4 linked regions of the Saccharomyces cerevisiae S288C genome follow. Changing the gene in region 4 together with the main gene of any one other region gives a genetic interaction. Each region holds a gene or a part of one and is shown on either strand. Other genes may lie near its edges.

Region 1 (7,654 bases), on a different chromosome or scaffold from region 4:
GAATGGAACGAAGCGAAAGTACCGACACTAGCTTCCAGGTGGGACTGGGACCTTCGCGAGATGGTTAAGTACGATCTGACCCTTTTGATTGATACCGTGTTAGCTAAGACGCAGTTTGAAAAGCTTACTTTGATCTCGCATTCTCAGGGCACTACACAGGGGTTTATGGGCTTGGTCAACGAAGATAAGTTTTTCCCTCCCGGTTCGGGATCTAAAGAATCTTTTTTCACTTCTAAGATCGCAAACTATATTGCCTTGGCCCCCGCAGTGTATCCTGGTCCCTTACTTAACGAGAAATTGTTTGTTAAGCTTATGACAAAGGAAATCGAAAATCCCTGGTTCTTTGGTGAAACGAGCTTTTTTGAGATAATGATGATTGTAAGAAACTTGTGCGTTGGTGAGAGCTTGTTCTCCTTTGTTTGTTACACCATCTTCAATTACCTGTTTGATTGGAACGATACCCTTTGGGATACCGCATTAAGAGATCGCCATTTCCTGTTTTCGCCAGTCCATGTTTCAGTGAAGTTGATGCAATGGTGGCTGTCACCCGACCCCAACAAGGTAAGTTTTAAATTTGGTTCCCATAAGATGTTCCCCGACAATGTTAAGTGGTTTTCAGACGCATCAAAGGCCCCAAATATCTACTTGTTTGTTCCAAAGCAAGATAGATTGGTGGACGGAGAAAGACTAATCAATCATTTCGTCAATGTGGAGTCGAATGTCAACTACAAGATCTGGTACATTGATGAGTATGCCCATATTGATGTCCTATGGGCACATGATGTCATAGAGAGAATTGGTAAACCAATTTTACAGAATTTGAACAACTATTACTCCAAGAAGCCATCCAGCGCCTTTGAAAGTGATTGTTCGGACACAGAGGTGGAAACGGAGCTGGAAATGGTTGCTGAGAAGGCTTGAAGAGGAAGCATGATATATAGGTTAATATAAATTATACTTGGGAATACATAGATAGAGGGCTAGTAAATTTTTAGTTTTTAATTGTTCTTTTTTTTTGAAGTATTGTGTCACAAATTGTCGGGAGTTGGGACATCACCGTGCATAACGATACATTTTTTTGAAAAATTTGATATTGAAAAAAAATCGATGAGTTTGAATTACATTACAGTTGTATAAAGCAACCGCATTTCATTAACGTAGTTTGACTCGCGAAGATAAGGCGTTAAAATGAAGATTAAGACCATTAAAAGAAGTGCTGATGACTATGTCCCTGTTAAAAGTACGCAGGAATCTCAAATGCCCAGGAATTTGAACCCTGAATTGCATCCTTTTGAAAGGGCACGTGAATATACTAAAGCTTTGAATGCCACCAAATTGGAAAGAATGTTTGCTAAACCCTTTGTGGGTCAGTTAGGATACGGTCATAGAGATGGTGTTTATGCTATTGCCAAAAATTATGGTAGTCTGAATAAATTGGCTACTGGTTCTGCAGATGGTGTGATTAAATACTGGAACATGTCTACTAGAGAAGAATTTGTTTCCTTTAAGGCGCATTATGGACTCGTTACTGGTCTTTGTGTGACACAGCCTCGTTTTCATGACAAGAAGCCAGATTTGAAGAGCCAAAATTTTATGTTATCTTGCAGTGATGACAAAACTGTCAAGCTATGGTCAATAAATGTTGATGATTACTCCAATAAAAACTCCAGTGATAACGACTCCGTTACTAACGAGGAAGGTTTGATTCGTACTTTTGACGGTGAATCTGCATTTCAAGGTATCGATTCGCACAGAGAAAACTCCACGTTTGCCACAGGTGGGGCCAAGATCCATCTTTGGGACGTTAACAGATTGAAGCCAGTTTCCGATCTATCATGGGGAGCAGACAACATTACTAGTTTAAAATTCAATCAAAATGAAACAGATATCTTGGCCAGTACTGGTAGTGATAATTCTATTGTTCTTTACGACTTGAGAACCAACTCCCCCACACAAAAGATTGTTCAAACAATGAGGACGAATGCTATTTGCTGGAATCCAATGGAGGCCTTCAACTTTGTAACTGCCAATGAAGATCATAACGCCTACTATTATGATATGAGGAATTTATCACGTTCATTGAATGTATTCAAAGATCACGTCAGCGCAGTAATGGATGTTGACTTTTCTCCTACGGGGGATGAGATTGTTACTGGTTCGTACGATAAGAGTATCAGAATATATAAGACGAATCACGGACATTCGAGAGAAATTTATCATACGAAGAGAATGCAGCATGTTTTCCAGGTTAAATATTCCATGGATTCTAAATATATTATCAGTGGATCTGATGATGGGAATGTTAGGCTATGGAGAAGTAAAGCTTGGGAGAGGTCTAATGTCAAAACTACTCGTGAAAAGAATAAATTAGAATATGACGAAAAATTAAAAGAAAGATTTAGACATATGCCGGAGATCAAAAGAATCAGTAGACATAGACACGTGCCACAAGTCATCAAAAAGGCTCAGGAAATTAAGAACATTGAGTTGAGTTCTATTAAGAGAAGAGAAGCTAATGAAAGGCGTACTAGAAAGGATATGCCATACATTTCCGAAAGGAAGAAACAAATCGTTGGTACCGTGCACAAATATGAAGATTCAGGAAGAGATAGGAAAAGAAGAAAGGAAGATGACAAACGTGATACTCAAGAAAAGTAGTTATTCTGTTTTATGTTGTCTGTATATACACATATGTACAATATTTGCATTTTTTTAATTTTTAATTCACATGTATTTGATAAATGTTCACGCCAGTCCCGTTAAATTAAAATTACCATTTTATTAGATTATGAATTTATATATGAATACATTGTGTCGTAATGGTAGAAGAAGTTGAAAAAAAAAATGTCAAGGGACAGCATGGGTACAGTGTGTTGAGCCAAAAAAAAAAAGAAAAAAAAAGAAAAAACTTTTTGTTCTCTGGTTCTTTTCTTCATCTTCTTCATCTTCATTCTTTGGTAGCGGGGGCCACAAGAAATTCGGGCGAAAGTGCTCATTATATTGTTACATCCAAAATTTTGCCCACATCCAGTGAGGTTTTCACAGAAAGGTCTTCTAAAAGAGGAATAATATCTAATAATTCGTTATCATGAGTATCTGAGAACCAGGACGAAATCGGTATTGCATGTTGGGGATGAAAAATATAAGATGCCGGAGAGTTATCGAGAATGATGATATCTGATAACGGCCTTCCAATCTGGGATAAGTTTTTTATATAGTTTCCTTCATAGTTATAGCAAGCCTCTCTGAATAATCTGTGATGAATGACTTTATCTGTGTCTAATATATCAAGCAAAGGATCACCGTATCGAGAGACACTAGCCGTGAAGACTACAACCTCGAATAATTTTCCGACTCTTTCCAAAAATTCTTCCACACCAGGTCTTTTAATGACATAGACATTGTGTACTTGGTCATCTATTTCCACAGACAAAACAAAATCCGCAGATCGTAAGTATTTGAAAGAAGAGTGTACCAAGGTTTCATCCAGGTCCAGTATTAGGCATTTCTTGCCCTTTGTACTTTCATCTTGTGGGGGGAGCAGAGTGTTGTAACCTGGTGCATGATACTGGCCCTGCTGCAAAAGCGTTAGATCAATATATTCTTCATCTTCATCGTCTTCGTCGTCGGCATCGTTGGAAGTTTCACTGGCTTGAGAGCTGCTACTTACCCTACTCAAATTCATATCTTGGATAAGATGGTCAGACGATACTTGTACAGTAGGCCCTCGCTGCTGCGACTGCGACTGCGACTGTGACTGTGACTGTGACTGGGGTTGTGGTTGTGGTTGTGACTGTTGTTGTTGTTGCTGCTGTTGTTTTTTCTGCCTGGAAGTATCTTTCACAGCATCTCCTTTTTCCTGTACAATGCCACGACTGCGACGGTTATCTTCATCGTCGATCTCTTCATCTTCGTCAACCTCGTATTTTTCCTCGTAAAGATCATCTTTACTAATTCGCTTCTCTACTTTTGTCATATTATTAGTAGTAGTGGCGGTGACGGCTGCAGTCGGCGACGATGGCTTCTTTTTTTCATTATCGTTCGTGCTTATCCCAGATTTACCGGTGGATCGTTCAGTGGAACTGAAAGTAGCGGCTGAATTTGTCTTAGAAGGAGGAGAGTTTGTCTGATGTACGCCACGGGTTCGGCTTTTCGTGTTGGAATGTTTAACGCTTCTGTTTTTATTGAGAGAACTGCTCTGTTGTTGGCGATAAGCAGAATTGGAATTGGATTGTGTCGTCTCGGAAGAGCAGCACAGTATTGACGATATGAAACCCATACTGTTTTGCTACTTATTGTTGTTAAAGCTTACGAACACGAATGTAGGCAAATAAAAAGCTTGGATAAACGCACAATGAAAGGGGAAGTGCGATTGATTATGCTATAAGGAATGACACGAAGAGAGCAGACTATAGGCTAGGCAGGCGATAAAGGAAGGAGTTGTACTTGACGACAACGTAATAAAGAGTTCAATGAAAGAGTATTGTGAGCAGTATGGTTCAACGAGCACTTCTTCTCGACACCTATTTCTATACTTTTTCACTTAATATACACTAACTAATCCCAGACTTTTTTTTTTTTCCGTTCTTTCCAGAAAAAAAAGAAACAAAGCAAGCGTGCCCTGACTTAGGGTTTCCTAAAAAAGTTATTAGGTTTGTGTCACGTGATACGTCCTTTTCTGGTCACGTGGTCTTAGAACACTCTTAAGGGGCCAAGCACAAGAGGACAGTGCTAGCAGTAGAAGTGGTGTAGTAGTGATGAGGTAATGTTAATTGTGCATCGCACATATTTACAGGTAGTATATACTATAGTTTGTGAATACCTATTCTTATATATACAAGAAATGGTTGTCGGCAGACTGTCAGTAAGACTAATTTGCACTTGGAACTTCGAAGCCATAACCCTTCATGCACTCTTTGTACTTTTCAATGAATTCCTTGCATTTTTCAGAGTCTTGTCCATTGAATAAGATGCATGTATCCCGCTCCTCCTTTTCTGGCTTACAAACGCAACATGGCTTAGGTTTGTCCTCGCACTCCGCGTGGTTTTCTTGTTCTTGTTTCTTGTCAGTTTCAGTCATTGGGTATAATTGATTGTGTAGTTATCTGATTGTGTACACTAAAATTTTGTTTAGTTGTACTAGAGACAAGTAGTTAGGTGGTTACTAGATTCTGATTCGCCGCTATATATCGTCATTTTATCTTTTTTTGAAGGAGATAGGTAGGGTTATAACATTATCCGGGTAATGATTTGAAAAAAAATTTTCAAAAAATGCGATGAGATGAGGTTGAAAATTGTAAGTTAGAATATGCTTAGATAGTATGAGTATTTACGTTGGTAACTTGGGTTTCGAATTGGAGCTGTGTGCCTACAACAGCGTCTTATATATATACTATGGTGGTAGGAACTAAAAAATACTCTAATTTGGACTTTGTCCCTACAATCAGTGACAGTGAAGACGATGTTCCAATTCTAGATTCTTCTGATGACGAAAAAGTCGAGGCTAAGAAGACTACGAAGAAGCGGAAGGGTAAGAATAACAAGAAAAAGGTTAGTGAGGGGGATAACCTCGATGAGGATGTTCATGAGGACTTGGACGCGGGGTTTAAGTTTGATTTGGACGCCGATGATACCACTTCGAACTTCCAAGGCTGGAACTTTCTAGCAGAGGGCGAGTCCAATAAGGACGATGCCGAAGCTTTTGTGAAGAAGGACGTTGACTTGGATAAGATTATTAGAAGAAAAGGTGGGCTGGTGAAAATGGCCCATATTGATAGTAAACAAGAAGAAGAAACCGAGAAAGAAAAAGTAGAAAAAGAAAACGATAGCGACGATGAGGAATTAGCAATGGACGGGTTCGGTATGGGAGCTCCCATGAACAATGGAGACGAAAATCAGTCAGAAGAAGAAGAAGAAGAGGAGGAAAAGGAAGAGGAAGAGGAGGAAGAGGAGGAACAAGAAGAGATGACGTTAGAAAAAGGCGGCAAAGATGACGAAATAGATGAAGAAGACGATTCTGAAGAGGCAAAAGCCGATTTCTATGCGCCTGAAACTGAGGGAGATGAAGCTAAAAAGCAAATGTACGAAAATTTCAACAGTTTGTCTTTATCTCGTCCGGTTCTTAAGGGCCTTGCAAGTTTGGGTTACGTCAAGCCTTCCCCTATTCAAAGCGCCACAATCCCCATTGCCTTATTGGGTAAAGACATCATTGCCGGTGCTGTGACTGGTTCCGGTAAGACTGCTGCGTTTATGATTCCCATAATCGAGCGTTTGTTGTATAAACCAGCCAAAATCGCTTCCACCAGAGTTATTGTTCTATTGCCCACTCGTGAGTTAGCTATCCAAGTCGCTGACGTTGGTAAACAAATTGCACGTTTCGTCTCCGGTATAACCTTTGGTCTGGCCGTTGGTGGTTTGAACTTGAGACAACAAGAACAAATGTTGAAATCTCGTCCGGACATCGTCATTGCTACCCCAGGTAGATTCATTGATCATATCAGGAACTCAGCAAGTTTTAATGTGGACTCAGTAGAGATTCTGGTTATGGATGAAGCCGATAGAATGTTAGAAGAAGGTTTTCAAGATGAACTGAACGAAATTATGGGCCTATTACCAAGCAATAGACAGAACCTATTGTTTTCTGCTACAATGAACTCCAAAATTAAAAGTTTAGTTAGTCTTTCTCTAAAAAAACCAGTAAGGATTATGATTGATCCTCCAAAGAAAGCTGCTACTAAGTTGACACAAGAATTCGTTCGTATTCGTAAAAGAGACCATTTGAAGCCTGCCTTGTTATTTAATTTGATTAGGAAATTGGATCCAACGGGTCAAAAGAGGATTGTCGTTTTTGTGGCTAGAAAAGAAACTGCTCATAGGTTAAGGATTATCATGGGTCTTTTAGGTATGAGTGTGGGTGAATTACACGGTTCTTTAACCCAAGAACAGCGTTTAGATTCCGTTAATAAATTCAAAAATTTGGAAGTTCCTGTACTTATCTGTACGGATTTGGCCTCCAGAGGTCTTGATATCCCCAAGATTGAGGTTGTTATCAACTACGATATGCCCAAGAGTTATGAGATCTACCTGCATAGAGTTGGTCGTACCGCCAGAGCTGGTAGGGAAGGTCGTTCCGTCACCTTCGTCGGTGAATCATCTCAAGATAGAAGTATTGTACGTGCTGCTATAAAGAGTGTAGAAGAAAATAAGTCCCTAACTCAAGGTAAAGCACTTGGTAGAAACGTAGACTGGGTTCAAATCGAAGAAACAAACAAACTTGTTGAATCCATGAACGATACGATTGAAGATATTCTGGTGGAAGAAAAGGAGGAGAAGGAAATATTAAGGGCTGAAATGCAATTAAGAAAGGGTGAAAATATGTTGAAGCATAAAAAGGAAATCCAGGCAAGACCAAGAAGGACATGGTTCCAAAGCGAATCAGATAAGAAAAATTCCAAAGTATTAGGTGCTTTATCAAGGAACAAGAAAGTCACTAACAGCAAAAAGAGAAAGCGTGAAGAAGCTAAGGCAGATGGCAATGGTGCACGTTCTTATAGAAAAACCAAAACCGACCGTATTGCAGATCAAGAAAGAACTTTTAAAAAGCAGAAGAGTACAAATTCAAATAAGAAGAAGGGCTTCAAAAGCCGTAGGTAAT
Region 2 (7,953 bases), on a different chromosome or scaffold from region 4:
ATTTTGTTCTCGATAGGGAACAATGGTGGTAGTGTTCCATCGTCGGGATCATTATTATCATCGCCATCGTCATTCCTTCCTCTCAATATACTCATCGGGTCTCCGGCCTCCTCTTCTATGATTTTATGCATTTTTGCCTTGTAATCTTGATGTAACTCATCATTCAATACCTCTAGTGCAGGAAGCTCAGCGCCCTTCTTCTTCATCTTGGGGAATGCAATGCGATCTCTGCACAATACCACCGAATCTCGGATCTCACATGACTCCAAGCACCATTCGACCAGTATCTCTCGCAGTTGGATATCATCGCATATCCAGCGCGAGCAATCGCTATTTATGCAGCAATCCCACACATAGCACTCCTGCCCCTTCTTGTCATGGTCCATGCGGTAGCAGGATGTAATAATAGGAATCTCCCATTCGTTTTGGATGATGAGCGGGAACACTATCCTTGCATTAAAATCGACCTCAGGTTTGGGCACTAACGGAGAGTGACAAACATTGATGAACACCTTCCTGCCATCTTGCAGTTTTTCCGGCCCATTAGCGGATAATAGTTTTGTCTTAATTACAAAATCTGCGATGGGCTCAATTTTAGACACCGATCCGTCTGCAGCGTCCACCGACACGTACTTGTCCTCGTTTCTATGACGTTGCTTAATTGGTCTCAATAAGAAATCGGCCATCGGTTAAGGTCTGTTTGTTCGCTTTGAAAAGTCTGTTCCCTGTATTCCTTTTTCTTCCATGCATATGAATTCAAGAATTCCTAGTTTTTTTCTATCATTATTGTCTTCTGATTTTTTTTAAGGAAAAAAAATATCAAGAGTAAAAATAGTGATCAGGTACTGAATCCTGTATTTGTACAATACTGCAATCTAGCACCAAATTTGGCCAAGGAAGTGCCTATGTGTTCTCCAACTAATTTCTTATATGAGCCCTTTTCCAGCGATGCTGTGACGCAGAACTATGACCAAAATCTAAAATGCACCAAATGTGGCGCCTATTATTCGATGGCTTGTTCCCTACGAGAACAGAATGTTTGGACTTGTCTATTCTGCAACCAATCAAACTCAAATGCTGAATTGCCACTGGTACCTTCCAACACCTATACATTGACTTCTGCAAAGAAAGAAATACTTTCAAGACGGACCATTATGATTATAGACGCTATTTGCGATCCTCATGAGCTAAATTATTTAGTTTCCATTCTATGTAATAATTACATCACAAGACAACAAGAGCCACTATCAATAATTACTATTCAGCAATCAGGTCATGTGATTTTACACAATGCTGTGAATCACAGACGTGATGCTGTATTTTCAATAAATGAATTTATGACCAAATATAATCTTGATAAATTAAATGCCAGTTACTTCGAGAAAAAAATTTCAGAAATCAATCAAGAATCATACTGGTTTGATAAATCTACTCAGGGTTCTTTAAGAAAATTGCTACGGGAAATATGCAAGATTGCAAACAAAGTGAATATCAGTTCTAAAAGGGACAAGCGTTGCACCGGATTAGCGCTGTTCGTTTCATCCGTACTGGCGTCTCAGTGCAGTTTGTCAGCCTACTGTCATATAGTTTCATTCCTGAATGGTCCATGTACTAAGGGTGGCGGCAAAGTTATGTCAAGAGAACGTGGTGAAAGCATGAGACAAAACCACCATTTTGAATCCAAAAGTTCACAATTGCAACTATCAAAAAGTCCGACAAAATTTTACAAGAAAATGCTTGAAAAATTTGCAAACCAATCGTTAATCTATGAATTCTTTATAGCTTCATTGGATCAAATCGGTATACTCGAAATGAGTCCATTAATAACTTCGTCAATGGCAGTTTCTCAGTTTGATTCATTCAATGATGAGAGATTCGCAATGTCTTTTCAAAAGTACCTGAACTTGCGTGACCATAATGCCATTTACAATTGTCATTCAAAGATAATGACCGCAAAGAACGCTATTGTCGTTAAGGACTTCCCAAAATATAGCTTAAACCCTAAAAACCTTTCTCTACCATTAGAAATCTCACTAGGTCACAATTCAGCTGAAGCTCCTATACAGTTTCAAACCACTTTTGAAAATCAAACGGAAAAATACATAAGAATTGAAACCCTCTTATTGCCAAAAGCCAATAGATCATTTGGGGCACAAAATGAAATTGTGTTTTCAATGAAAAAGATAGCCTCACGAATTATCGATAGCTTTGCTTACTCATCCAAGCACACTAAAGAATTGATGAAGCAATTGTTTCTATTACCAAATCAAATCCGGGGAAAAGACGTAGATATGGTCAATCTGATACAGTGGTGTTATCATATATATAGGTCTCCAATTCTATCGGTTCGGAATACTTCACCTGATGAAAGGTACCTTTTTCTTCACCGAATAATAAACGCTTCTAAAGACACATGCCTTTCATTATGCAAACCCTTCATCTGGAGTTACAGTGATTTGAAACACGACTGGATCGTGTTGGATGTCCCATTAACAAGAGCCCAGATACTTCAAGATGATAAAACCACCATTTGTGTAGATGGTGGCTCGTACTTAGTTTTAAGAAGGGGAAAACTTTTGGAAAAAGAAGGTCGCGAGCTCTGTTGCAAGCTTTTAAATGACTTGCAAAGGTTTCCGCAGCCATTATATGTTGAAACTAAAACCGGTGGCAGTCAGGACCGTTTCTTGAAAAGCAAAATTATTCCCTTGGACATCACTGACAAGGAAACTCTTGGTACAGAGGATATGACATTCAATGAATATTTCAACTTGTTCACCGATCTAAGTGGAAGCAAATAACTCGCTAAATATTCTTGCTGCACTTTGCGACGCCTGTATTGGCGAAAACAAAAAGTAAAGAAAAAAAAACTTTAGATGAAATAGAGCAAAATTCCCTAAGACAATAGAAGATACAAAAGCAAGTTGGGCCCTTAATTTCATCAAAGGTATAGCATCTCATCAAATAGTCGCTTGTTTATCGCAATACTTGCTTATTGAGTAGTTGTATTATAACGTTATATAGGATCTTCCATATGGAAAGTTTTGAAAATTTGAGCATAAGAGACAGTTTCACTAGCGGAATGGAACACGTTGACGAGGAGTTAGGAGGCCTCTCCGACCTAAGTATATCTAAGCAGGGGCCAACTTTGTCACCACAGCTTATCAACCGATTTATGCCCCATTTTCCCTCGAGCCCATCACCTCTGCGAAATACATTGGATTTTAGTGCTGCTAAAGCTGATGAGGAAGAAGATGACCGAATGGAAATAGATGAGGTTGATGATACAAGTTTTGAAGAAGAATATAATAACGAGCCAATCGAAACTCATACTGAAGCGACTGAGAATGCCGTGGTGGAAGAAATCGAGGCTACCCCAGAAGAAAGACAAAAGCAAGAGAAGAATGAAAGCCAAGACCAAAGTGTAGAAGAGGTCGAGAACATTGTTTCACCGCATCGTTCAACTGTCATAAAGGCATTATTATCACCGACCGATTTAGGTGTGGCCGCAGCTACTAAAGTTGAAGGTGTTGTGCCATTACCACCATCGGCCAATCAAGATGACAATGAAAGTTCGAATAACAACGCAGAGGGTGAAGACATAATCAGAAATGAAGAAGTCGAAGATGAGATCAAATCATCACTTGGCAACCACAAGTCAAGCCAGTACGCAAATGCGTTCGATTCGGAAATAATCAAGAGGGAATTAAGATCAAGATCAAAATATCAACCAATTCAGGTTTCATTCAATACACACAACTACTTCTATTCAGATAAGGACGGCATTAAAACTTATTCTCTTACTAAACCAAATCACAATAAAATAGATGAATTTTACGACCAAAATGAAGCTTTCAAGTTGCCTAAACCATGGTCACCCAATTCACATCCGGCATCAAGAGCGTCATATGCCCTAATGTCATATTTACAGTTATTTCTCAATGCGATCACTACAGTAGTGATTTTTAGTTTTATACTCTCATTTATCATAGCGCTTCAAAAGGACTTGAAATCCACATGGGAACAAAGAAAACATGAACTGCAGTACGAATCCAGAATTTGTCAAGAGCAGTACCTCACAAATCGTTGTAACCAGACGCCTGGCTTGCCGGCTCTGGGCGAACAATGTGCTATATGGAAACAGTGTATGGACAGAAATAACGATATCTTTTTCCGTGCAAGATCAACGTTGAGCGCAAAATTGTTCGGAGACATTATCAACTCATTCATAGATCCATTAAACTGGAAAACACTATTTGTTATTTTTTGTGGTGTGATAACTTGGTGTTTCAGTTCGAATTTCTTACTGGGTTTTGTAAGAGCCAAGAGCTACTATGGCAATGGCATCAAAACATATCCCTTGCCATCTTCACCGAAATCGCCGACATCAGAAGAAACACACTCATCTATGACAGCATCTGGAGAGGACTCACACCTACTTAAGCAATAGATTGTGCTATCTGGGACAGTAACAATGCTTATCTACGCCATCGGACATCTCGGGAAGCCAACTCCGAAGCCGACAAAAATTGGATAGGCCTACTATATAAGGGTGACAGGACAGCTGACTTTACTCCAGAAGTATATCCATGGAAAATATGTAATAATACAAACAAGTTAATATAATCTATATTGTATAGAAGGCCAATTCAAATTCACAGGAATTATGCTATCAGCAAGGTGCCTCAAATCTATATACTTCAAGAGATCTTTCTCACAACTGGGACACATCAAGCCCCCCAAGCACATAAGAAATGAACCTGTTAAGCCATTTAGAAACATAGACTTAAAAGACTGGGACTTACTGAGGGCTTCCTTGATGAAATTCAAAAGTTCTTCTTTAGAAGTGCCACTGGTCATCAATGGGGAAAGGATATATGACAATAATGAAAGAGCGCTTTTCCCGCAGACTAACCCTGCGAACCATCAACAAGTACTGGCAAACGTCACACAAGCCACGGAAAAAGATGTCATGAATGCTGTAAAAGCCGCCAAGGATGCCAAAAAGGATTGGTACAATCTACCGTTTTATGACAGATCTGCAATTTTTTTGAAAGCCGCTGACTTAATTTCCACCAAGTATCGTTATGACATGTTAGCTGCTACAATGCTGGGCCAGGGAAAAAATGTGTATCAGGCAGAAATCGACTGTATCACGGAATTATCTGACTTTTTTAGATACTATGTCAAGTATGCATCAGACTTGTATGCTCAACAACCCGTAGAGTCAGCGGATGGTACTTGGAATAAAGCTGAATACAGACCTTTAGAGGGATTTGTGTATGCTGTTTCACCATTCAACTTTACTGCTATTGCTGCAAACTTGATTGGGGCTCCAGCTTTGATGGGTAATACAGTTGTCTGGAAACCTTCACAAACCGCTGCCCTTTCAAATTACTTATTGATGACTGTTTTGGAAGAAGCGGGATTGCCAAAGGGTGTCATAAATTTCATTCCAGGTGATCCAGTTCAAGTTACTGACCAGGTATTAGCTGATAAAGATTTTGGTGCCTTGCATTTTACCGGTTCTACAAATGTCTTTAAGAGTTTGTATGGCAAAATACAAAGTGGCGTTGTTGAAGGGAAGTACAGAGATTACCCCCGTATTATTGGTGAGACAGGTGGTAAAAATTTCCATCTAGTTCACCCAAGTGCAAATATATCACATGCAGTACTCTCTACTATTAGAGGCACTTTCGAGTTCCAAGGCCAAAAGTGCTCTGCCGCTTCCAGGTTATATCTTCCAGAGTCAAAAAGTGAAGAATTCTTATCCGATATGTTTGGCATATTGCAGTCACAGAATGTTGTCCCAATGAACACATCCGCAAGTCCAATTTCTGGTGGGAATTTGCGGGGATTTATGGGTCCTGTCATCCATGAACAAAGTTTCGACAAATTAGTTAAAGTAATTGAAGATGCAAAGAAAGACCCCGAGTTGGAAATTCTTTACGGTGGACAATACGATAAAAGCCAAGGTTGGTTTGTCGGACCCACAGTCATAAAAGCCAAGAGACCAGATCATCCATATATGTCAACAGAATTTTTTGGCCCTATATTAACTGTTTACGAGTATCCAGATACTGAATTTAATGAAATCTGTGATATTATCGATAATACGAGTCAATACGCCTTAACTGGTGCTATTTTTGCCAAAGATCGTAAAGCAATTGAATACGCAGATGAGAAGTTGAAGTTTAGCGCAGGAAATTTCTACATAAATGATAAGTGTACTGGTGCCGTTGTTTCTCAGCAATGGTTTGGTGGCGCAAGAATGAGTGGTACCGACGATAAGGCTGGTGGTCCAAACATTTTAAGCAGATTTGTCAGTATTAGAAACACAAAGGAGAACTTCTACGAGTTGACTGATTTCAAATATCCATCGAATTATGAATAAAAAAATTTTTGTGGAATAGAACCGCGAATGCAGTCACTTCATCCATCAACTCATGTAAATGTTAGATTATCGAAAAAAGGGTTTTGATTACTTCATTAGGTTTTTTTAGTTTTACAATTTTAATTTATCTAGGTAAATAGTTTAAAAATATTCATTGAACCAACCGTCCAAATTCCCGTTCTATATTCTGTCATGACTTACTTATTCACGTTGCTATTTATTCGCCGCATATTCATTCTGTTTTTGGCATAAGGACCCGTCCGGAAACAGAACATCAATTTATTAAATACGTCCATTCGTAAGCTTAAAGATGGAAACTTTGGCGAGCAGTCCCTGACAAGAAAAATAACAGCAAGAAATAATGATTTTAACCACAGCTAGATTAAATTGTAGACCAGTCACCGTTCCTCGTCTATTTAATCGTTCTTTTAGTCAATCTTTCATAATTTTGAAGAAAAAAAGTTCTACCCCTACTGAGAAAGTCGAAGAAGATGAAATTGACGTGAATGAACTGCTGAAAAAGGCAGAAACTCAATTCAAAAAAACTTTAGAAATTCAAAAACAGAAAATGAATGAGATAAAACAGGGAAATTTTAATCCTAAGGTATTCAATAGTTTAGTGTTCAAAAATAACAGAAAGTTTACAGATATTGCTACCACATCCTTGAAAGGTAAAAATGCACTTTTAATAACAGTTTTCGACCCCAAAGATGTGAAAACTGTGATCAGTGGGGTGCTTGCTGCGAACCTGAATTTAACTCCTGAAAGGGTCCCAAATAACGATTTGCAATTGAAAGTTTCGTTACCACCACCAACTACAGAATCCCGGTTAAAAGTAGCTAAAGACTTAAAGAGAGTATTTGAAGAATATAAGCAGTCATCGCTAAAAGACTCATTAGGAACTATCAGAGGCAGTATTCTAAAGGAATTCAAAAGTTTCAAAAAGGATGATGCCGTTCGAAAAGCTGAGAGGGATTTGGAAAAACTGCATAAGGATTACGTGAACAAGCTTCATGACCAATTCCAGAAAGTTGAAAAAAGCATTGTAAAATGAGGAATTTCGTAACGTGTATAGAATCAAAAAATCATAAATCTTGTACATAAAAAGTTCATTTTATATAATAATAAATACCAAATTATTGATAAGTTTGTTGCTTCCTCTAAAGTAAACTAGCTGGCTTCTTTAGCTAAAGAGAACAGTGACTTTATTCTTTGCCATGTGGAATTTGTATAAGCTCCTACGATGAAACTCTTTACAAAATTCCAAGCCTTAGCATTGTTACGAATAGGGTAGTCTAATGGTTTTGGAATTTGAGTGGAGACAAAAGGCAAAGTATCAAAACAGACACTTTTGGCATTGCACAAACCCAAAAGACCTTCTTCACCACCAAATTTACCGTAACCTGAACCATTGATACCACCAAATGGTAATTGACAAACATAGAATGTAGCAAAATCATTAATGGCTACATTACCAGTTTGTAGGCTATTTGCGACGTAATTGCATTCCTTGATATCCGCACCAAACACAGAACCACCTAGACCAAATGGCGCAGAGTTGG
Region 3 (8,282 bases), on a different chromosome or scaffold from region 4:
AAACAAAGAATTCAGTTCTTTGAACATGAAAAGAAAACGGAAAAGACACGATAAAAACAATAGTCTAACAAGCTATGAATTAGAAAGAGATAAGAAGCGTTCAAAAAAGAATCGAGTGAAATTAATTCCAGATAATATGGAAACAGTTTCAGCACCAAAAATTCGAGCCATATATTATAATGAAGCTATTTCAAAAAATCCTGACCTCAAAGAAAAACATGAATACAAACAGGCATATCATAAAGAATTACAGAATTTAAAAGATATGAAGGTATTTGATGTCGATGTGAAGTACAGTAGATCAGAAATCCCTGATAATTTAATAGTACCCACCAACACGATATTCACAAAGAAAAGAAATGGGATTTATAAGGCTAGGATAGTCTGCAGAGGTGATACTCAGTCACCAGACACTTACAGTGTAATAACTACAGAATCTTTAAATCACAATCATATTAAGATATTCTTAATGATTGCAAACAACAGAAATATGTTTATGAAGACCCTGGATATCAATCATGCATTCCTATATGCTAAATTGGAAGAAGAAATATACATCCCACATCCGCATGATAGGAGATGTGTAGTCAAGCTAAATAAGGCGTTATATGGTCTAAAACAGAGTCCTAAAGAATGGAATGATCATCTAAGACAATACTTGAATGGAATTGGACTGAAAGATAACTCTTATACTCCGGGATTATACCAAACCGAGGATAAAAATCTAATGATTGCAGTCTATGTTGATGACTGCGTAATTGCGGCAAGCAATGAACAGAGATTGGATGAATTCATAAACAAATTGAAAAGTAATTTTGAACTGAAAATTACAGGAACATTAATAGACGATGTACTCGATACAGATATATTAGGAATGGATCTAGTATACAACAAAAGACTTGGTACTATCGATTTAACATTAAAATCATTCATAAATAGAATGGATAAAAAATACAACGAGGAATTGAAAAAGATTAGAAAAAGTTCAATTCCGCATATGTCAACTTATAAAATAGATCCTAAGAAAGACGTACTGCAAATGTCAGAAGAAGAGTTTAGACAAGGTGTTCTAAAGCTACAACAATTACTAGGTGAACTAAACTATGTCAGACACAAATGCAGATACGACATTGAATTTGCTGTTAAGAAAGTGGCTAGACTAGTAAATTACCCACATGAAAGAGTCTTTTATATGATTTACAAAATAATCCAGTACTTGGTTCGGTATAAAGATATTGGAATACACTATGACCGAGACTGTAATAAAGACAAAAAGGTTATTGCTATAACTGATGCATCAGTTGGATCAGAATATGATGCTCAATCAAGGATTGGAGTTATATTATGGTACGGTATGAATATTTTTAATGTTTATTCTAACAAGAGCACAAACAGATGTGTATCATCAACAGAAGCAGAGCTTCATGCCATTTATGAAGGCTATGCAGACTCAGAAACGTTGAAGGTAACATTAAAGGAGCTAGGAGAAGGAGACAATAATGACATTGTCATGATCACTGACTCAAAGCCAGCCATTCAAGGATTAAATCGCAGCTATCAACAACCAAAAGAGAAATTCACTTGGATAAAAACTGAAATAATAAAAGAAAAAATTAAAGAGAAGAGTATAAAACTGTTAAAAATTACCGGCAAAGGTAATATTGCTGATTTACTAACAAAACCAGTATCAGCATCTGATTTTAAAAGATTTATACAAGTATTAAAAAATAAAATAACATCACAGGATATTTTGGCCTCAACAGACTATTGATAATTAATTAATGAAGTTCTAAACACACAATGAATATCTGTTGAAGTACAATAATATATCTTTAAGGGAGCATGTTGGAACGAGAGTAATTAATAGTGACATGAGTTGCTATGGTAACAATCTAATGCTTACATCGTATATTAATGTACAACTCGTATACGTTTAAGTGTGATTGCGCCTATTGCAGAAGGAATGTTAAACGAGAAGCTCAGACAATACTGAAGCTGTGTTAAAGACCTATTAGTTGAACATGTTATGGTAGGTACATATATGAGGAATATGAGTCGTCACATCAATGTATAGTAACTACCGGAATCACTATTATATTGGTCATAATTAATATGACCAATCGGCGTGTGTTTTATATACCTCTCTTATTTAGTATAAGAAGATCAGTACTCACTTCTTCATTAATACTAATTTTTAACCTCTAATTATCAACATATCAATATATTATTGAAGATTGGGTGAATTTTGAGATAATTGTTGGGATTCCATTTTTAATAAGGCAATAATATTAGGTATGTAGATATACTAGAAGTTCTCCTCCAGGATTTAGGAATCCATAAAAGGAAATCTGCAATTCTACACAATTCTATAAATATTATTATCATCATTTTATATGTTAATATTCATTGATCCTATTACATTATCAATCCTTGCGTTTCAGCTTCCACTAATTTAGATGACTATTTCTCATCATTTGCGTCATCTTCTAACACCGTATATGATAATATACTAGTAACGTAAATACTAGTTAGTAGATGATAGTTGATTTTTATTCCAACAATTATCATATACGGTGTTAAGATGATGACATAAGTTATGAGAAGCTGTCATCGAAGTTAGAGGAAGCTGAAGTGCAAGGATTGATAATGTAATAGGATAATGAAACATATAAAACGGAATGAGGAATAATCGTAATATTAGTATGTAGAAATATAGATTCCATTTTGAGGATTCCTATATCCTCGAGGAGAACTTCTAGTATATTCTGTATACCTAATATTATACCCTCTATCAACAACAGGATTCCAACAATTATTTCAAAATCCACCCATATCTCAGATTTCACATCAGTATTGATTAAAATATTAATTGCTACCAGTTCTAATAAATCTAATGTTTACATCATATAGTAATATATCTTTTGAGAAATGTGACTGGCGTTATACAGAAACCGAATTACACGTTTTAAATACTAATTATTAAAATTTATCCTGATAAGTTGATCTTTATTTCCGTACAGCACAACCGATAGAGGAGATGTTTAAAGTGTTTAAGCTCACTTTATAGGGTGAAACACATTTTGACGACCGTAAAAGGTCATTTGATTTGGTATTGAGGTCGAGAAAATATTTTCAAATAGTGAAGGATACATTAAACACGCTCACAAAACAACATAAAAATCCGTGATAGTTTAATGGTCAGAATGGGCGCTTGTCGCGTGCCAGATCGGGGTTCAATTCCCCGTCGCGGAGATTTTTTTTGGCCCTTGATGACTGTTCTGGTACAATTTCCACCTTGAATGAGGGTATAAGATACCGATGATATATATTCAGACTATTTCTACGACACAGAAAAACAATCGACCAAGCCGTCCTTGAACATGCTGCAGAACTTCCTTTTTTTTATTTTTTTTGGCTCATCTACGTAATCCTATTATCTTTTATTAAATTTTGAAGCTATGAGTTTCTTTCCAGCGACTTGGAACCAATAGTTGACAGTGAGTGCATACTTGAGTATTTTCCCCCTACATTGTACAGTCCTCCTCAGACCTGGTATCCCTGTTTAATGTGGTCGCTCATCGGACTTTTCCGTCCGATAGGAATTCGCTCAACTTTGACAGGCGGAACTACTTTCACATCGATTTTCTCAGGAAAGACGGCGTAAACAAGAGAAGAAATTAACTTTCTACAGAAAGTACAACCATATAAACCCTTCGTAGAGCTCCAATTAGTAGCAAATAATGACAAATAATGTCAGTGAACGACCAAATAACTCATATAGGAAAAACATTGTCCACAACGGCTTCCGCTTTTTTAAACTACCAAAAATCGAACAGCAACACTCAAGATGTACTGACCAATAATGGGCCTTATAAGAATTTATTATCAAATACCGTCAACAATGCGAGCTCAACTTCATACTTTTACAAGAGGACTGAACACGGTCGCTTTGTAAAAAATGCATCTAACACTTTTGAGGATATTTACTCCAAGACAAGAAGGGGCGATGTATTCAGGAACAAGTTCACAGACAACAAAACATGCTTCAGAATGCTCACGTACATAAGTGATGATTTGTTGAACGAGATCCCAACTAAGGAAGGTCTCAAAAGTGATGCAGATGGCAAGCTTCTAACCGAAGGAGGCGAAAATGAAAATCTCAGGAAGAACGCATCCAAAAAAGAAACATCGCTGTTTCAGGGCTTTAAAAGCTACCTACCAATAGCGGAGCTTGCCATTGAAAACACTGAAAGATTAAACTATGATACAAATGGTACAAGCGGTACGGTTGGTGCGAAAGATGTTATGTCTAAAACAAATGAGCGAGATGAAATTCACACAGAGCTTCCTAACTTCCAAGATTCATTTCTCATACCGCCTGGGGTAGAAACTAAAAAAATAAGCTCCTCTTATTCTCCTAGTGCATTAAAAAGTTTTTCTCAAACTCTTGTAAATAGTTTAGAGTTTTTAAATATTCAGAAAAATTCTACGTTATCCGAAATAAGAGACATTGAAGTTGAAGTTGAGAATCTGAGACAAAAGAAAGAGAAACTGTTGGGTAAAATTGCGAACATAGAGCAAAATCAATTACTATTGGAAGACAACCTCAAACAGATTGATGATAGGTTGGACTTTTTAGAAGAGTACGGATTGGAGGTGATCGAAGCTAATAGCGACGAAAATGCAGAAGATGATGGTATGAGTGAGCGAAAGGCCCTTAAAAATGATGCTATAAGAAATGAGGGTGTCACCACAGAGAGCATATCATCAGAGGCTTCTAATCTACCTCCAAGGAGAAGGCAACAACTTCGAGACGATAACTCATTGAATAGATTAGGTGCCTTTTATAGCAAATCCAAAAAAAGACACAGAAAAAGCTTCCCAACATTCCAGCAGCTTTACGAGCCAGGAACAAAAATTGGCTCTATAATGTCCACTCACGATGATTTCCTCACTTGCCTAGATTTTGATGCGCCCTTTGGTACCTTATGTACAGCCGGATATCTTGATCACACGGTAAAAATTTGGGATTTATCCAAACAAAACAAAATTGGAGAACTAGCAGGACATCTTGCTACAATTAATTGTATGCAAATCAATCGTGACTACGGAACTCTTGTTACTGGTGGTAGAGATGCGGCTTTAAAATTATGGAATTTGAATTTAGCTCAACAACTTTACCAGGAAACGCAAAATCTTACCTCTCCTACAAATCATATTGATTCTCCATGTGTTCATACATTTGAGGCGCATACAGATGAGGTTACTGCATTATCATTAGATCCTAGTTTCTTGGTGAGTGGTTCACAGGATAGAACAATTAGGCAATGGGACTTACGTTCCGGGAAGTGCTTGCAAACCATTGATCTGAGCTTTGCAAATGTCTTAACAACATCCACTAATGTCGATTTATCAAAGAGCACACTTCTTACTCAAAGAAATGAGAGGCCTAGTATAGGTGCACTACAAAGTTTTGATGCAGCGCTAGCAACGGGTACAAAAGATGGTGTTGTAAGGCTATGGGATTTAAGATCCGGAAAGGTGATTCGTACTTTGAAAGGGCATACAGATGCCATAACGTCATTAAAATTTGATTCCGCGTGCCTGGTCACAGGTTCATACGACAGAACAGTTAGAATCTGGGACTTAAGAACTGGGTTGTTGAATAAGTTTCATGCGTACAGTGCGCCAGTTCTTTCGTTAGATCTCTTCCAAGAGAACGCTGCAGTCGTTGTCGCAGACGAACCAAGTGTCCAGATATACGATAGCGAAAAGGATGAAAGCTGGTCTTGCGTCGAACAAGGTAACGAGACTAGCGTTAGTACCGTTAAGTATAAAGAAAATTACATGGTTGAGGGTCGTGAAAATGGGGACGTAAATATTTGGGCCGTATGATAGGCATTGCATTGCAATCAAGTCAACCCATTTGAAGAAAAATAAATATCGAGTGCATATGTGAATAGCTGCTCGCTCAGATATATATAAATAAATATTCGTTCTGGAATGTAAATAAAGTATCGTCAATACCTTGGATGGTTTATCAGCGAAATCGGTGCTGTAGATGTTGCCCTGTCATATTACTACAGATGTCTTGGAAGCAATCACCATACCTGCATTATCCTTACCCGGAAAAAGAAAACTTTCGTGAATAATGATTAATATTTAAGTGGCGACTTTTTCATCCTTGCTATTGAAAAAAAAAAAAATGAATAATTGTTATTAAGCGTTAGCAGATGCCAAATTGTCGAAATGATTTCAAATACAGAGAATTAGCCGCAAATATTAAGTAGTACCTGAATCACGAGACATACAACTCGGAAAAATGAACTTTGGAAGCCAAACACCTACAATTGTGGTTCTAAAAGAGGGAACAGACGCATCTCAAGGTAAAGGTCAAATCATCTCTAATATCAATGCCTGTGTTGCAGTCCAAGAGGCATTGAAACCAACTTTAGGTCCCTTAGGTTCTGATATTTTAATTGTGACATCGAATCAAAAGACTACTATTTCTAACGATGGTGCCACGATCCTAAAATTATTAGATGTAGTACATCCTGCTGCCAAAACTTTAGTGGATATTTCTAGAGCTCAGGATGCCGAGGTGGGTGATGGTACAACTAGTGTAACCATTTTAGCTGGTGAGTTAATGAAAGAAGCCAAGCCCTTTTTGGAAGAAGGCATTTCATCTCATTTGATTATGAAGGGCTACAGAAAGGCCGTTTCTTTAGCTGTGGAGAAGATTAACGAATTAGCTGTGGATATTACTTCAGAGAAAAGCAGTGGCAGAGAATTACTTGAACGCTGTGCTAGAACTGCAATGTCGTCGAAATTGATTCATAATAATGCAGATTTTTTTGTTAAAATGTGTGTTGACGCCGTGCTATCCCTTGATAGAAACGATTTGGATGACAAATTAATAGGTATTAAAAAAATTCCAGGTGGTGCTATGGAAGAATCTCTTTTCATCAACGGTGTCGCCTTTAAGAAGACATTTTCGTATGCTGGATTTGAACAGCAACCCAAAAAGTTCAACAATCCTAAAATTTTAAGTTTGAATGTAGAACTGGAGTTGAAAGCAGAGAAAGACAATGCTGAAGTACGTGTAGAACATGTTGAAGATTACCAAGCTATTGTAGATGCGGAGTGGCAATTAATCTTTGAAAAGCTAAGACAAGTGGAAGAAACAGGTGCCAATATTGTACTATCAAAGTTACCTATCGGCGATTTGGCTACTCAATTTTTTGCTGATAGAAATATTTTCTGCGCTGGTAGAGTGAGCGCAGATGATATGAATCGTGTCATCCAAGCTGTTGGAGGCTCTATACAATCTACTACTTCAGATATAAAACCAGAGCATTTGGGTACTTGTGCTTTGTTTGAGGAAATGCAAATCGGGTCAGAACGCTACAATTTATTCCAAGGTTGCCCACAAGCTAAAACATGTACATTATTATTAAGAGGAGGTGCTGAGCAAGTTATTGCCGAGGTTGAGAGATCATTGCACGATGCAATCATGATAGTTAAGAGAGCGTTACAAAATAAACTGATCGTTGCTGGTGGTGGTGCTACAGAAATGGAAGTATCAAAATGCTTGAGAGATTATTCAAAAACCATAGCTGGTAAGCAACAAATGATAATCAATGCCTTCGCTAAGGCTTTAGAAGTTATTCCAAGGCAACTCTGTGAAAATGCTGGGTTTGATGCTATAGAAATATTAAACAAACTAAGATTGGCTCACAGCAAAGGTGAGAAATGGTATGGTGTTGTCTTTGAAACAGAAAATATTGGCGATAATTTTGCCAAATTCGTATGGGAACCTGCTTTAGTAAAAATCAATGCTTTGAACAGTGCCACAGAGGCTACTAACTTGATTTTATCTGTTGACGAGACGATCACTAATAAAGGTAGTGAAAGTGCCAATGCTGGCATGATGCCTCCCCAAGGGGCTGGAAGAGGGAGAGGTATGCCAATGTAATTAACACTCTAAAAAACATGTGCTGCATACATTTTATTATTACTCTTTTTGCAGTAGTTATTTGCATCAAAGGTAATTTCTTTCAATCATAAATAAGTTAATACTGTATTGATAAAACCTTATTCTTTTCTTTTGTATACTCTGTATCTTAAAGTAATTCTAGGTCTAAAGAAAAATGAAAGAAGTAATGAAAACTCCGAGAAACAAATCATATCATTGGTCGTCATCCGGGTTGGATGTCATGCAGCTGCATTCCATTTCTTCGGCAAAATGTACGTAATATTCGATTAGAACCCTGTTTTGCAAC
Region 4 (5,438 bases):
ACATAATTCACCGCTAGTTCATGAGGTCAACGGGAATGAGGGGAAATGATAATGTTTATTTAAATTATATTTTGGGGTCTGAATTTGGAGTTTTTAAGCGTAAATATATAGTAACAATACCAACAATAATACTAATAATACTATAATAGTAGTTGCAGTAACAATGACAAGATAAAGAATATTCTTCTGAAATGTCTAAAGAACGAAGAAAAAAGCAAGTACTCATTGGAATGCTATGTGTAACAACTCATACATACTCTAGAGCTTTATAATAATTACATAGACATTTTTATAATATTATTTATTTATCAAATTTTATATTGAATAGGTACCATCAAGTTATGCACACATTCTTCATTAAAATACAGTCTGTAAATAATTGTGAATATGGGCGACCTGAATGATGTTCTTATTATCTCAAATATTTCTAATTTTTTTTAATCATTTTTGTTTCTTTAAGAGCAATTAATTTACAGAGCGGGGAACAGTGGCCAATTTTTTGAGCTAAAGAACAGCATAACAACAAAACAACAGAAAAAAAACACAGCGAGTCTAGTGCAAGTACGTCGGCAAAGTAAAACACAAAGGAGATGAAATTGCACGGCTTTTTATTTTCCGTATTATCAACATGCGTCGTCATTTTACCAGCGTTGGCCTACAGTGAAGCTGTCACGATGGTCAAGTCGATTGAGCAGTACTTCGATATCTGCAATAGGAATGATTCTTACACAATGATAAAATACTACACTTCTTGGTGCCAACATTGTAAAACTCTGGCCCCAGTATACGAAGAGCTTGGTGAGCTATACGCCAAAAAAGCTAATAAAGATGATACCCCAATTAACTTCCTTGAAGTTAACTGTGAATTCTTCGGGCCAACTTTATGTACCGACTTGCCTGGATTTCCAATAATTGAACTGGTCAAACCTCGTACTAAGCCCTTAGTTCTTCCGAAGCTCGATTGGTCGTCTATGAAATTTCATGAAAGACTATGGCAAAGAATCAAGACGTGGTTCAACAATCCTAAGTACCAACTGGATACGTCTAGGGTTGTTCGTTTTGAAGGGAGTAGGAACCTAAAGAGTTTAAGCAACTTTATCGATACTGTAAGAAGTAAAGATACAGAAGAAAGATTCATAGAACATATTTTCGATGATTCTAGGAATTGCAATGAAGAATTACGTTCTCAACAGCTTCTGTGTAAAGCTGGTAAAGAATACTACTCTGATACTTTATCTAAATTATACGGTGACGTGAATGGGCTGGAAAAGGAAAGGCGAAGACTAGAAGCTTTAATTAAGCAAAATGGAGATGACTTGAGTAAAGAAGTTAAAGAAAAACTGAAAATCATTCGTCTACAATTGAGCCTATTATCACACATAGAAGACCAGTTAGAAGATACCAGTAGTCATGACGAGCTTTGAACATAAGCTTCGCTCTGTCTTTTACTTTACGAATACCGACTACAGACGGAAGCGGGACCCTCACCCTGAGGTACAACAAATACACAGATACATATATATTTAACAATGTACGTTAGCCGCAATATAAGTGAGATTGTGTAGGTGAAAGATTATGGAGATATACATAAATATTACAGAAGGTCTACCACATGTGTTTTGAATATTGGCTTGTGCTAAGGTAACACTGTTATTTTATTCATTAGAGAAACATCTCTTACCCTGTTTGGTTTTGGTATAATCTCCAATTACGTACATGAAAGATGGCTTTATATAAAAAGCCTTTAATTCGAAAAAAGAATAAATGTCTTAGGGAGCTTATTATCGTACTTTAATTCAACTTAGGAAATCAGCACTCTCCACTCCAAATCTTCGGTTTGAAATAATGGAAAATCAAGGTGGAGATTACAGCCCAAATGGGTTTTCAAACTCAGCAAGCAATATGAATGCGGTTTTTAACAATGAAATCACCGGTAGAAGTGACATTTCAAATGTAAACCATCAAACTGGTACCCCACGTCTGGTTCCTGAAACTCAAATATGGTCGATGCCTGTGCCAGATCAACTGATGACGATGCCTAACAGAGAAAACACCCTTATGACAGGTAGTACAATAGGTCCAAATATCCCCATGAATGTGGCTTATCCCAATACAATATACTCGCCAACAGAGCATCAGTCGCAATTTCAGACACAACAGAACCGTGACATCAGCACGATGATGGAACACACTAACAGTAATGATATGAGCGGCTCTGGTAAAAATCTCAAGAAACGTGTATCAAAGGCCTGTGACCATTGCCGAAAAAGAAAAATCAGATGTGATGAAGTGGACCAGCAGACCAAAAAATGTTCAAACTGTATTAAGTTTCAGTTGCCTTGCACTTTCAAACATCGTGATGAGATTCTTAAGAAGAAAAGAAAATTAGAAATCAAACATCATGCAACACCAGGGGAATCACTTCAAACCTCAAATAGTATTAGCAATCCTGTAGCGTCTTCTTCAGTACCGAACAGTGGAAGGTTTGAACTTTTAAACGGTAATTCCCCCTTAGAAAGCAATATCATCGATAAAGTCTCCAATATTCAAAATAATCTTAACAAAAAAATGAATTCAAAGATTGAAAAATTGGATAGAAAAATGTCTTACATTATTGACAGTGTGGCTAGACTTGAGTGGTTATTGGACAAGGCTGTTAAAAAGCAGGAAGGCAAATACAAGGAAAAGAACAATTTGCCCAAACCAGCGAGAAAAATATACTCTACGGCACTTTTAACTGCTCAAAAACTCTATTGGTTCAAACAAAGTTTAGGAGTGAAAGCGTCCAATGAGGAGTTTCTTTCTCCAATCAGCGAAATATTAAGCATATCTTTAAAATGGTATGCAACTCAAATGAAAAAATTTATGGATTTGTCATCTCCGGCTTTCTTCTCCAGCGAAATAATATTATACTCATTACCTCCGAAAAAGCAAGCAAAGAGACTTCTTGAGAATTTTCATGCTACCTTATTATCCTCTGTAACTGGTATAATATCGTTAAAAGAATGTCTAGACTTAGCAGAAAAGTACTACAGCGAAAGCGGCGAAAAACTCACATATCCTGAACATTTATTATTAAACGTGTGTCTCTGCTCGGGTGCATCTGCCACTCAATCAATTATAAGAGGTGATTCAAAGTTTCTAAGGAAAGATAGATATGATCCAACCTCCCAAGAGTTAAAAAAAATCGAAAACGTTGCCTTACTAAATGCCATGTATTATTATCATAAGCTGTCCACCATCTGTTCAGGTACAAGAACACTACAAGCTTTATTACTACTGAACCGATATTTTCAACTTACCTACGATACTGAACTAGCAAATTGTATTTTAGGAACCGCGATTAGATTGGCGGTTGACATGGAATTAAATAGAAAATCCTCTTACAAGTCACTAGACTTTGAAGAAGCCATAAGGAGAAGAAGAATGTGGTGGCATTGTTTTTGTACAGATAAACTATATTCTTTAATGTTATCCAGACCCCCTATTGTGGGGGAACGCGATATGGATATGCTAACAGATCAAAATTATTATGAAGTGATAAAAACTAATATTCTACCTGATCTTATTGATAAAAAGGAAGATCTCGATAAAATTACTGATGTCAACTCTGCATTGAATGTAGTTGTAAATTTTTGTCAGCACATATCCCTTTTCATATCATATTATGTTTCAAAATTGGTTAGTATTGAGAGTAAAATATACTCTACTTGTTTTGCTGTCAGAAGTACTCTAGATCTTTCATTCGATGCCATGCTTGATAAAATCAAAGATCTCAATGATTCTTTGAACAATTGGAGAGACAACTTGCACGTAAGTATGAAACTAAAAAGTTATAAACAGTATTTATCGGTACTTTACGCTCAAAAATCCCAAGAAAATCCGGCTTTAAGTTTTGAGATTGCATGCTCTCGTGTTTTGAATTGTCATTTTAGGGCGCTATATTCTAAAGTGATTTTGAGCATGATGACTACATCCTTATTGATTGATAACGAACGCCTATACAAAGGTTCTCGCCATGATATTCCTCAGCTATTCATTCTTTTTTCAAGTCAATACTTAAACGCCAGTAAAGAAATGTTACAGCTGTTTCAAGGCATCAATTACCAGGCGCATATGTATAACGAGGTTATGTATCAGTTCTCTACTGCTATGTTTGTTCTCTTCTTTTACGTTGTGGATAATATGAACGATCTAAAAAAGAAAGGTGAGGTAAAAGAGATCATCGATATCCTAAAAAAATCTTATGATCGATTAGTGGGAGAAAATGATGAGCAGTTACTGTTTGACAATGTCAAATGGAACACTTTGATTGTGTTCTACAGCCACTTTTTGAAATACGTTTTGCAACGTTATCATGCTTTGAACGATTCTACGTCAATATTTGATTCTAAACCTTATGATGAAACGATAACGAAAGTTATTATGCATTCAAGAAAGATAAAAGATGAAACAGTCGATCAACTAATTATGAGTCTAAAATCATATGGTTCTCTCCATTCTTTACAAAAGGGCAACGAAGCCGATCTCGCCGATGATGGACTGAATACGAATGATATTTCTTCAGAAGACTTTGCGGAGGAAGCACCAATAAACTTATTTGGAGAGTTATCAGTCGAAATTTTAAAACTATTAAAATCTCACTCCCCCATCTCAAATTTTGGAGACCTATCGCCATCTTCAAATAGGAAAGGAATATCTGATGACTCATCTTTGTACCCAATTCGTTCGGACCTAACATCTCTTGTTTATCCCATCCATAGTTCTGATACCGGAGATACTCTTTCCAGTGGTCTAGAGACCCCTGAAAATTCTAATTTTAATAGTGACAGTGGAATAAAGGAAGATTTCGAAGCTTTTAGAGCCTTATTGCCTTTAGGAAAATTGATCTATGACAGAGATTATTCTTTCGTGAACACTTTTAGGGATTATGAATAAACTGTACCTTGTCTACAAAGATTGTAAAAAATAAAAATTCTTTCCCAATGCATATTATATGTACTATTTGTATCTATATATTATCTATCGATTCTCACTTAAGATGTCGTTGTAATATTAATTATAACAACAAGGCTTTTATATATTTCAGGTAATTATCGTTTTCCTTTTCTGGTTCATTTGCTATAGCACGCAATAGCTCTTGTATTTTATGCTGGGAAGCTTCTTCAGTAATTTTGCTTGGGTCATGTAAACCCTCCTCCTTCACTTTTCTAATCCACTCTTTCAGTAAAGCCTTCAAACGAATATTACCTTCGTTAACTTCCTGTAATGATAGCTTAGCTTTTTTCAAATCTTCATTATTAGTTTTTAGATCGTCCAATTCATTGGCTTTACGTTTAGCCATTTTAACAATTTTTTCTGGAAATTGAACAACTTCTGCAACATGAATACCAAAAGACTGATCTGAAATACCAGGCTCAACTTTGTATAACAACGTG

What was found.
Region 1: mutations in HAL9 (region 4) and PSR1 together harm fitness more than expected from each alone (negative genetic interaction), as found in Saccharomyces cerevisiae (2 studies listed by BioGRID).
Region 2: mutations in HAL9 (region 4) and PUT2 together harm fitness more than expected from each alone (negative genetic interaction), as found in Saccharomyces cerevisiae (2 studies listed by BioGRID).
Region 3: mutations in HAL9 (region 4) and MDV1 together harm fitness more than expected from each alone (negative genetic interaction), as found in Saccharomyces cerevisiae (2 studies listed by BioGRID).

What each region holds. Positions count from the first base shown.
Region 1 is NC_001144.5:126,335-133,988, forward strand, and holds PSR1 (phosphatase), read right to left. Parts: upstream 4,280-7,654; coding exon 2,996-4,279; downstream 1-2,995. Other genes in the region: YEH1 (sterol esterase), read left to right, coding at 1-921; rRNA-processing protein SOF1, read left to right, coding at 1,189-2,658; copper metallochaperone COX17, read right to left, coding at 4,871-5,080; DRS1 (putative ATP-dependent RNA helicase), read left to right, coding at 5,395-7,653. UniProt on the Saccharomyces cerevisiae protein: Has phosphatase activity in vitro. Involved in the response to sodium and lithium ion stress (but not to potassium or sorbitol stress) by inducing transcription of the sodium pump ENA1/PMR2.
Region 2 is NC_001140.6:177,314-185,266, forward strand, and holds PUT2 (1-pyrroline-5-carboxylate dehydrogenase), read left to right. Parts: upstream 1-4,663; coding exon 4,664-6,391; downstream 6,392-7,953. Other genes in the region: PIH1 (Pih1p), read right to left, coding at 1-686; GTPase-activating protein NEL1, read left to right, coding at 906-2,798; BRL1 (Brl1p), read left to right, coding at 3,032-4,447; RRF1 (Rrf1p), read left to right, coding at 6,753-7,445; MSC7 (meiotic recombination directing protein), read right to left, coding at 7,562-7,953.
Region 3 is NC_001142.9:201,555-209,836, forward strand, and holds MDV1 (Mdv1p), read left to right. Parts: upstream 1-3,750; coding exon 3,751-5,895; downstream 5,896-8,282. Other genes in the region: chaperonin-containing T-complex subunit CCT7, read left to right, coding at 6,323-7,975. UniProt on the Saccharomyces cerevisiae protein: Involved in mitochondrial fission. Has a partially redundant function to CAF4 in acting as an adapter protein, binding to FIS1 on the mitochondrial outer membrane and recruiting the dynamin-like GTPase DNM1 to form mitochondrial fission complexes.
Region 4 is NC_001147.6:149,898-155,335, reverse strand, and holds HAL9 (Hal9p), read left to right. Parts: upstream 1-1,845; coding exon 1,846-4,938; downstream 4,939-5,438. Other genes in the region: DUF1 (Duf1p), read left to right, coding at 1-49; protein disulfide isomerase MPD2, read left to right, coding at 591-1,424; mismatch repair ATPase MSH2, read right to left, coding at 5,060-5,438. UniProt on the Saccharomyces cerevisiae protein: Putative transcription factor involved in halotolerance.